2 linked regions of the Xenopus tropicalis genome follow. The protein of the gene in region 1 interacts with the protein of each later gene in a pairwise test. Links are inferred from orthologs where the notes say so. Each region holds a gene or a part of one and is shown on either strand. Other genes may lie near its edges.

The links.
Region 2: the proteins of gramd1c (region 1) and cd151 interact in binary tests that used the Homo sapiens proteins (3 or more experiments, as listed by UniProt). The link is inferred for Xenopus tropicalis from reciprocal best matches to the Homo sapiens genes GRAMD1C and CD151.

What each region holds. Positions count from the first base shown.
Region 1 is NC_030678.2:3,306,163-3,310,588, reverse strand, and holds the start of gramd1c (GRAM domain-containing protein 1C), read right to left. Parts: upstream 2,890-4,426; 5' UTR 2,824-2,889; intron 1-2,823. UniProt on the Homo sapiens protein: Cholesterol transporter that mediates non-vesicular transport of cholesterol from the plasma membrane (PM) to the endoplasmic reticulum (ER).
Region 2 is NC_030680.2:31,254,319-31,258,137, reverse strand, and holds part of cd151 (CD151 antigen), read left to right. Parts: intron 1-244; coding exon of another isoform or gene 245-265; intron 266-1,067; coding exon 1,068-1,172; intron 1,173-1,257; coding exon 1,258-1,416; intron 1,417-3,310; coding exon 3,311-3,397; intron 3,398-3,552; coding exon 3,553-3,612; 3' UTR 3,613-3,819. UniProt on the Homo sapiens protein: Structural component of specialized membrane microdomains known as tetraspanin-enriched microdomains (TERMs), which act as platforms for receptor clustering and signaling.

The sequences.
Region 1 (4,426 bases):
ACCGATTCCTGCACTGTAAGTCAACAGAGCTCACAATCACCCCCCCCCGGCCATCACGGGGTGCCTGGGAGGGAAGGGAGCACCCAGTCATTACGAGGGAAGGTATCCGATATTGCTTTATATGTTACTCTGTATGTCCAGTGTATGAAACCCACTTATTGTACAGCGCTGCGGGATATGTTGGCGCTTTATAAATAAGTGTTAATAATAATAATACACAGCACAGGTGGCACACGTTGGACTCAATTTGGCCAAACTAAAATCTGGGCAGAAGTGGCCGCCAAAGGCTCAGACGCACAATGGAAGTGGCCCCCCACTTTCGGAGCCTCAGATTGTTTGGCATGGGGGGGGGGCATTTCCTCGCAAAGGAAACTTGGAGCCCTTTACTGACTGCCTAAAGGTCCCCATACACGGGCTGATTGTAGCTGCTGATATGGGTCCCTTGGACAGATTCGGCAGCTTATTGGCCCGTGTAGGGGCAGAAACGAGGGGCCTGGATGACCCTTATCTGGCCTGAAATTGGCCAGATATTGATCAGCCAGGTTAGAAAATTCAGTCGGATCGGGGACCGCATCGGCTCGTTGCGGTCCCTGAACCGACTGGCCCATTGCCGCCGTTAGAATTAGATTATTTGGCCCCAGGGCCTACATGTTACCCGATATCGCCCACCCGTAGGTTGGGATATCGGGTAAAGATCCGCTCGCTATCTGCCCGTGTATGGGCAGCTTTAGGCAGGGACTGAGTGCAGAGCGCAATGTAGGGGGCACAATTGCTCTGTAGATAAGCACTAAGGGCTGTGCTCTTGTACCCCCAAGTGCCCTTATGCCCCTGGGGTCATAAACAACCCCTCATATTCCGCTATGTCCCCAATACTGAATCAGTGCTGTAACTATTGGGGCACATTGGGTGCGGCTACACCTGGAACCACCGGGGGCATGGGAGTTTTAGGGCCGAGGCCCTTTATCCCTGAGTTATGGCACATAACATTTCTGACGATATTAATGTATTGGTTGTTGGGTTTAACCAGGAAATAACAGGGGAAAGCGAGGCAAGTCCCCCTACAGGAGAGGAGACTGCATAACCGGCAGGTTGGGGTGCACCATAGACATCATCTGGGGAATGGGGCTGCCTCCTCTTTCAGTTAAGACCAATCTACTTGACTTAGCAATTCCAAGACAGGGCCGTATAAACACCAGTGTAGTCTGCAGCAGGCTTATGGTTATAAAGCTTTGGGGCGATGAGAGAGTAACCGTCACAGCTGAAACTAATTTTATTTACAAGTCATATACCAGTCTGGGGGGAATGCTGGGATATGTAGTTTAAAGGCAATGTAAGGTTTAGTTTAGGTTTTCAAAACATATTTCCAATTACATCAATTTCAAAATGTTAACTGTAAGTGACCAATTACACTGCTTCTTCTATATCGGAGCTATTTAATTGGAGGCCCACGGGCCGGATGTGCCCCCCAAGACTGTCTGTGTATGGGCTCCATAGGCTGCTATGTATGGCATCTCTGGGATAGAACCTGGCACAAAAGCGCGGGCTCCATAGGCTGCTATGTATGGCATCGCTGGCATAGAACCTGGCACACAAGCGCGGGCTCCATAGGCTGCTATGTATGGCATCGCTGGCATAGAACCTGGCACACAAGCGCGGGCTCCATAGGCTGCTATGTATGGCATTGCTGGCATAGAACCTGGCACACAAGCGCGGGCTCCATAGGCTGCTATGTATGGCATCGCTGGCATAGAACCTGGCACACAAGCGCGGGCTCCATAGGCTGCTATGTATGGCATCGCTGGCATAGAACCTGGCACACAAGCGCGGGCTCCATAGGCTGCTATGTATGGCATCGCTGGAATAGAACCTGGCACACAAGAGCGGGCTCCATAGGCTGCTATGTATGGCATCGCTGGGATAGAACCTGGCACACAAGCGCGGGCTCCATAGGCTGCTATGTATGGCATCGCTGGCATAGAACCTGGCACACAAGCGCGGGCTCCATAGGCTGCTATGTATGGCATCGCTGGCATAGAACCTGGCACACAAGCGCGGGCTCCATAGGCTGCTATGTATGGCATCGCTGGGATAGAACCTGGCACACAAGCGCGGGCTCCATAGGCTGCTATGTATGGCATCGCTGGCATAGAACCTGGCACACAAGCGCGGGCTCCATAGGCTGCTATGTATGGCATCGCTGGCATAGAACCTGGCACACAAGCGCGGGCTCCATAGGCTGCTATGTATGGCATCGCTGGAATAGAACCTGGCACACAAGCGCGGGCTCCATAGGCTGCTATGTATGGCATCGCTGGCATAGAACCTGGCACACAAGCGCGGGCTCCATAGGCTGCTATGTATGGCATCGCTGGCATAGAACCTGGCACACAAGCGCGGGCTCCATAGGCTGCTATGTATGGCATCGCTGGGATAGAACCTGGCACAAAAATTGCAGGTAACTATAGAAACCAGCAAACCCAGGTATAGCTAACAACTATGCTTATACACTGCCGGTCTTGAGGGATATCACATTGGCATAAAGGGTTAAAGCTTTGTTTTTTAACCTTGGACCTTGAGATGTTGCTGAACTACAGCCCCCGGCACTGTCCAACATACACACGAGTGTCCAGGAATGTTGTTGTGATTGTTGCGGTTCTGCAAGTTGCAGAAATGGGCGGCGAAATTCTCTCAAACAGACTCAGAATAAGAATGAGAAACACAATTGGTGCAGCTGTAATGCCCCCCCATTGGTCAGCCTGGGCAATAAGGCTACCCCGGCCCCCAGCCACACTCACCCCCATAATACTCACATGGGGTACTTACTGACAGCAATGACAGGAGTCACATGGAGGAGATCCAGTAGCCAGCCCCGATGCCACTAGCCCGTTACCATTGCACCCAGCACTGTTGTGACTTCCTAGTTGGGCTACAAGACGGACAATTCAGTGCAGTTCTGTCTCACAGCCCCGCCCACAGGAAACCTGCACAGGTGAACCCTCTCTTAAAGTCACGGCACTCCTTTATACACAACTAAAGAGAGACGTGATCCCACGGGGCAAGGCAGCCCGGGCAGTTATGCAGGTGTAAGGGCAGGCATTATCTAGGACTATGCTGGCCAACTCCCTTTGGGGTGAAGTCACACTGAGCTACTTAGTAGCAGCTACTAAACACCAGAAAATCCCCTGCCATAGACAATAGTGAGAATTGCCTCTGCTAAAACACACAGTTATCAGTAAATGATCAGCATTATCTGTTTCAGTAGCTGCTACTAGTAGCTCCGTGTGTCTTCTCACATCAGTGGGTATATATCACATCCACATCTTGCAGGACTAATTAGCTCTTAATTAAAACTGCACTTAATTGGCCACATAATAGAATTAATCATTTTAAACCCTGATAAACAGGCCACTGGTCCCAGCTGTCAGTAGGTGCCGGGAGTTGCAGCAGGAGGGTTGCTGATATATACACTAACTTTTGTTATAAAATATGGGGAAAGTGGGTGTAAAGTTTGTTGGAAGTCTTGTATCCCATAGCAACCAATCAGCAGACAGCTATTATCGGTTACCTTTTTGGAAGCAAATCCCTGGTGGTTGTGGGGTTTTAATACCTTGGCCATTACATGTCTTTATTACTATAATTAGACCCCTCTGACGGCCCAGGGCCATTATGCAATTGAACACAAGCTGAATACATGGAAAGGGAGTGGGTCTCTTTGAGACGTGTTGTATAAACAACATTAGTGTTTGTATTGCATTATGGTTCCCACATAGGTGTGTGCAGAACTGCCGGGGGTTACGCTCATGTCTACAGTGCGATAGATGGAGCGGGGCATATCCATATTTATACACTGCGCTAAACCGACCGATTTGTTGCAGTAGTAGCAAGTCTGAAGCATGTAAAATCCTGAATAAATCAGACTACTGCTGGGCAGGGAGAGGCATACAGCAGCCCCAGGGCCCGGATAGGGGCATAATCTACATGCAATTCAATATATGTGAGCAAAACAGAACATTGGGTAACAGTCACCCAGGGCACAAATAAGCACTCACCCCAAATCCCCCCCCTAACTGGCCTTCAGGCTGGGCCCCCTTAGCCCATAACAAGGTTACAGATATATAGAAACATTGGGGTAACAGTCACCCCGCTATAGTTCCAGGGGTACCCAGGGCACAAATAAGCACTCACCCCAAATCCCCCCCTAACTGGCCTTCAGGCTGGGCCCCCTTAGCCCATAACAAGGTTACAGATATATAGAAACATTGGGGTAACAGTCACCCTGCTATAGTTCCAGGGGTACCCAGGGCACAAATAAGCACTCACCCCAAATCCCCCCCTAACTGGCCTTCAGGCTGGGCCCCCTTAGCCCATAACAAGGTTACAGATATATAGAAACATTGGGGTAACAGTCACCCTGCTATAGTTCCAG
Region 2 (3,819 bases), on another chromosome or scaffold:
TTGCTATAGGTAACTATTTTGGAGAAAAATTTATTAGATTCAAATTAGATACACTTTCAACAGAATTTGAATGAATCCCCAAAATAAACACTTGGCATTTCTGGGTTCAAACGATGTTTTCTTACTGAATCAGTCGAAGTTCCAAGCACCGGTTCAGTATCCCTTTCCTCTTGCCCTCTGTCTGTGCATTTATGTTTCTGTGCTTAACTCTTGCCGTGTACCTGTCTCTCCCTCCATGCTGCAGTGCACTCCGTTCTGCTTACAGGTAATGAAAGCTCCTTCCTGATTAGCTGCTTGACTTCCCACCACCTTTCTATCACTGGCTTACCAGAACACTGGCTTTTTATCTTGCACCCTGTATTGTAGGGGATTATGCTAGTTCTTTATTCAGGCAGATACACTTTAAATCATTACAACACTTAATTCAAGTGGCACACAGGTTGGATTTTGGTATTTTGCCTGCTGCATTTTTCAGTGGAAAATCATCACTGCTACTTCCCTTTGACTTAAATATGTGGCAGCTCTAATAACTGATGTTTTTCAACCCAAAAATGGTGTGTTTCAAGGCTGAAAAGCACCATTAACCTGTACTGTCATGTGTTTCCCATTCATGTGAACAAAAGGCAGCATTAGCAGTTGCTGGCACTTTTTTATCAGTTGACATATGCTAGCAGGGTATGACCCCTTGAGCCATAGGCATATTATCTGCTGCTCCCCTGTGGTGCAAATGAAGCGGCAGGCAAAGAGTCCATGTCCACCTGTTACATCTTCTTCTAAACAGGGCAAGCTTTATGCTATGCATACTGTCTTGTAAATTTAATGGACAGTCAATGGGGAAAAAAAAAAGGGTATAGTCTCCACTACAGAAGGCTTTCTGTTAATCAGGCTATTGTTGGGTTTCAGGTTTTAGCTTAGTTATACTTTTTGAGACTTGTGGTTGGCAAGTATATAATTCATTCATTGCATTGCTTGGGAGAGTGTTGGTCAGACAGTTGTACAGTAAGTTACAACTTTCACACATAAAACAACCTTATTCTGTTTTAACATTGTACCCTCTGCCCCCTCAGCTGAATGCAGAGCTCAAGCAGAGCCTCAAGCAAACTATGACCACAAAGTACAAACAGCCAGGAGAGGAGAAAGTGACCAATGCTGTGGACAAACTGCAACAGGAGGTGAGTGTGGGCTGCTCCCTTTCTTCTTGCATGTCCCCCTGGAACTGGACTTATATTTACACTTTTCTTTCTCTGCTCTGCTTAGTTTAAATGCTGCGGCAGTAATAATTCTGAGGACTGGAGGGACAGCATATGGATTAACTCTCCTGAGGCCGAAAAGCGGTTGGTTCCTGACAGCTGCTGCAAGACGGTTACTCAACGATGTGGCATTCGGGATCACCCATCCAACATCTACAAGACGGAGGTAGGAGATATATATATATTTATAATATATGCATGTCATTTTATCAGGATTAACCTTTCTTCAGTAAGGCTTATATTATTCTGAAATACATTAGGGCCTGTTATGCCTTTTCCCTGCTGCACTATGCCAGCCCTTTCCTTAGATTTACTAGTCCTCAGCCTTCCAAACATCAACATCAGCCAGGATATCCTTTCTCATTATCTGCCCCTGTTCTACATCCTTCCTTGCGTTCTGTAAGGTACTCGTAGCCTGAAGTGTTCGCCTTCAGGGATACATACAGGAAGATAATGTAACTGTGCCAAAATAAGCACCAGTTATGCCATTTTTGTACTGGGCATAAGCACATGTGTGCTAGGCTGCCCTGAGCTTACACCAATACCCCAAGCTTTTCTGACACCTGATGTTGGAGGGTCTGGTACCTAAGGCGAACAAGAGACTTTCCACAGCAGCTTTGTTCCTATAAGGAACTGATAACCCTCTGGTTAATAGGCACAGCCAGCTTGTTTGTTTCATATAACAATGACCTGTTACTTCGGGGTCTTTCTTCTCTTGCTTTGTTTTTGGGAATATTAGTTTAGTTTTCTAGAATCTGGTGGTGAAGAGCAAGGGGAACACTGTCTAAATAATGGCTAAGCTTAGGAAGTATGATCTGTGATCTGTGCCAATTTATGGAATAAGGGTGGGTTTATGGTGGGTATTAAGTGCTGCAATATTTTGCTTCTTGTATATTGTAGGAGGCATATTACAGTGTAAAATGTGATGCCAGGTTTGGGTAAGTGCTACATAATACTGTATTTACTTACTACCCTGTGAGACCTTAGAGATCTAAGCTGTGGGAAACAATACCTAAGAGCTATTAATCTGTACTGTATACTATATCTGGATTAGAGTTTACTTTATGTTCACAGATTCAGTGTTGCTAAGTGTAAGGGTATGCAAGTAAAAATATGCAAGCCACGAATACCTTAACGTATGACTATATTAGGCAAATCATTGTTGGAAAAGTACCATAGGGTATTTGTGGGTAATAAACTTGGCTGTAGCAAGCAATGCTGGAAAGGACAAACAACAAGGGGTCATAGATTTTTGGGAAGAGAAGGATTTATAACTGGTAAGGTCCCACCTGGAATATGCCTTTGCAGCATTGGTTTCCAGTTCTAAATGGGATATTACTTAATTAGAGAGAGTCCACCTAATTAGCCTTTTGGCCTTCATCACATAAAAAAAACCATTGATGCTAAACAGAAAGCTTCAACAGTGACACCCCGTGGATGTTTAGCAGTAGTTTTGTTGCACTAAAATGATGTTGTTATGAAAAACTTGTTTAAAATATCGCTAGCGCTGTATACACTCTGAGAAAGAGCCCTTTGTGGAGCAAGTCTTTGGAGATCTGAAATTCAGTTACAATTTTAAATTACAGGTTGGCGGATCCCAAGAAGTGGCCGAAGGGGCACAGAGCCTGTATGATTTAGGCAGACTGTTTATAGGTTACATAGTAGGCTAGCTTGAAAAAAAAACACAATCTGAAGCCTCTCCAATTTGCCTCAAGGAGGGACATATCACCGCCTCTACTTCTTTTGCACAAAAGTACCAAGTGAGGGCCTTTGTACTTTATGCAACTCCACCAGCGGCAAGCAGTACTGCATACAGTGTCGGGTGCAACGTTTTGTGCATCAAAATGCTGCATAACAGAACACGAAAACCAATCCGTATTATTTAAAAAACAAGTTAAACACTGGTAAAAGTCCAACCCTGGTACTGTCTGTGAAGAGCTGTATACCTCCTACGGTACAGCACCTCTGTCTGGCGTCAGTGCTACTTTTATTGTCTTCTGTTTGATAACCTTTCCTTCCTGTATCAATGCCATTTATGTGTCTCCCTTCTCTTCCCACAGGGTGGATGCATCACCAAGCTTGAAACCTTTATTCGGGCTCACCTGCTAATTATAGGTGCTGTGGGGATTGGCATTGCCTGTGTTCAGGTGAGCGACAATCTGGGTATCTTTAAAAACCTTCATGTTCTGCATTTCTTTCTATATTGTTCTACTGTCAACCTAACCCATTTGCTCCATCTTTGCCCCCTTTATCCAAGTATCCTACCTTACATTTTTTAAATTGTGTTTTTTTTCTTTCTTAGCTTTTTGGGATGATTTTCACCTGCTGCCTGTACAGGAGCCTAAAGTCAGAGCCATATTGAAAACATTTAAGACTTGTCTTGTTGCCTTGTTTTTCCCTGCTGACAACATATCCTGCTGCCTTAAACACCCCCCTGGCACTGAGGCCTGTTATGGTCCTATTGTAATGGCAGAATGTTATCTCATATCACTGTGTGGACCCTTTGGAACTCTGCGGTTTTTAACCCATGATATCATCAGCCTGCGACTGTATCCAGTGCCAAACATCA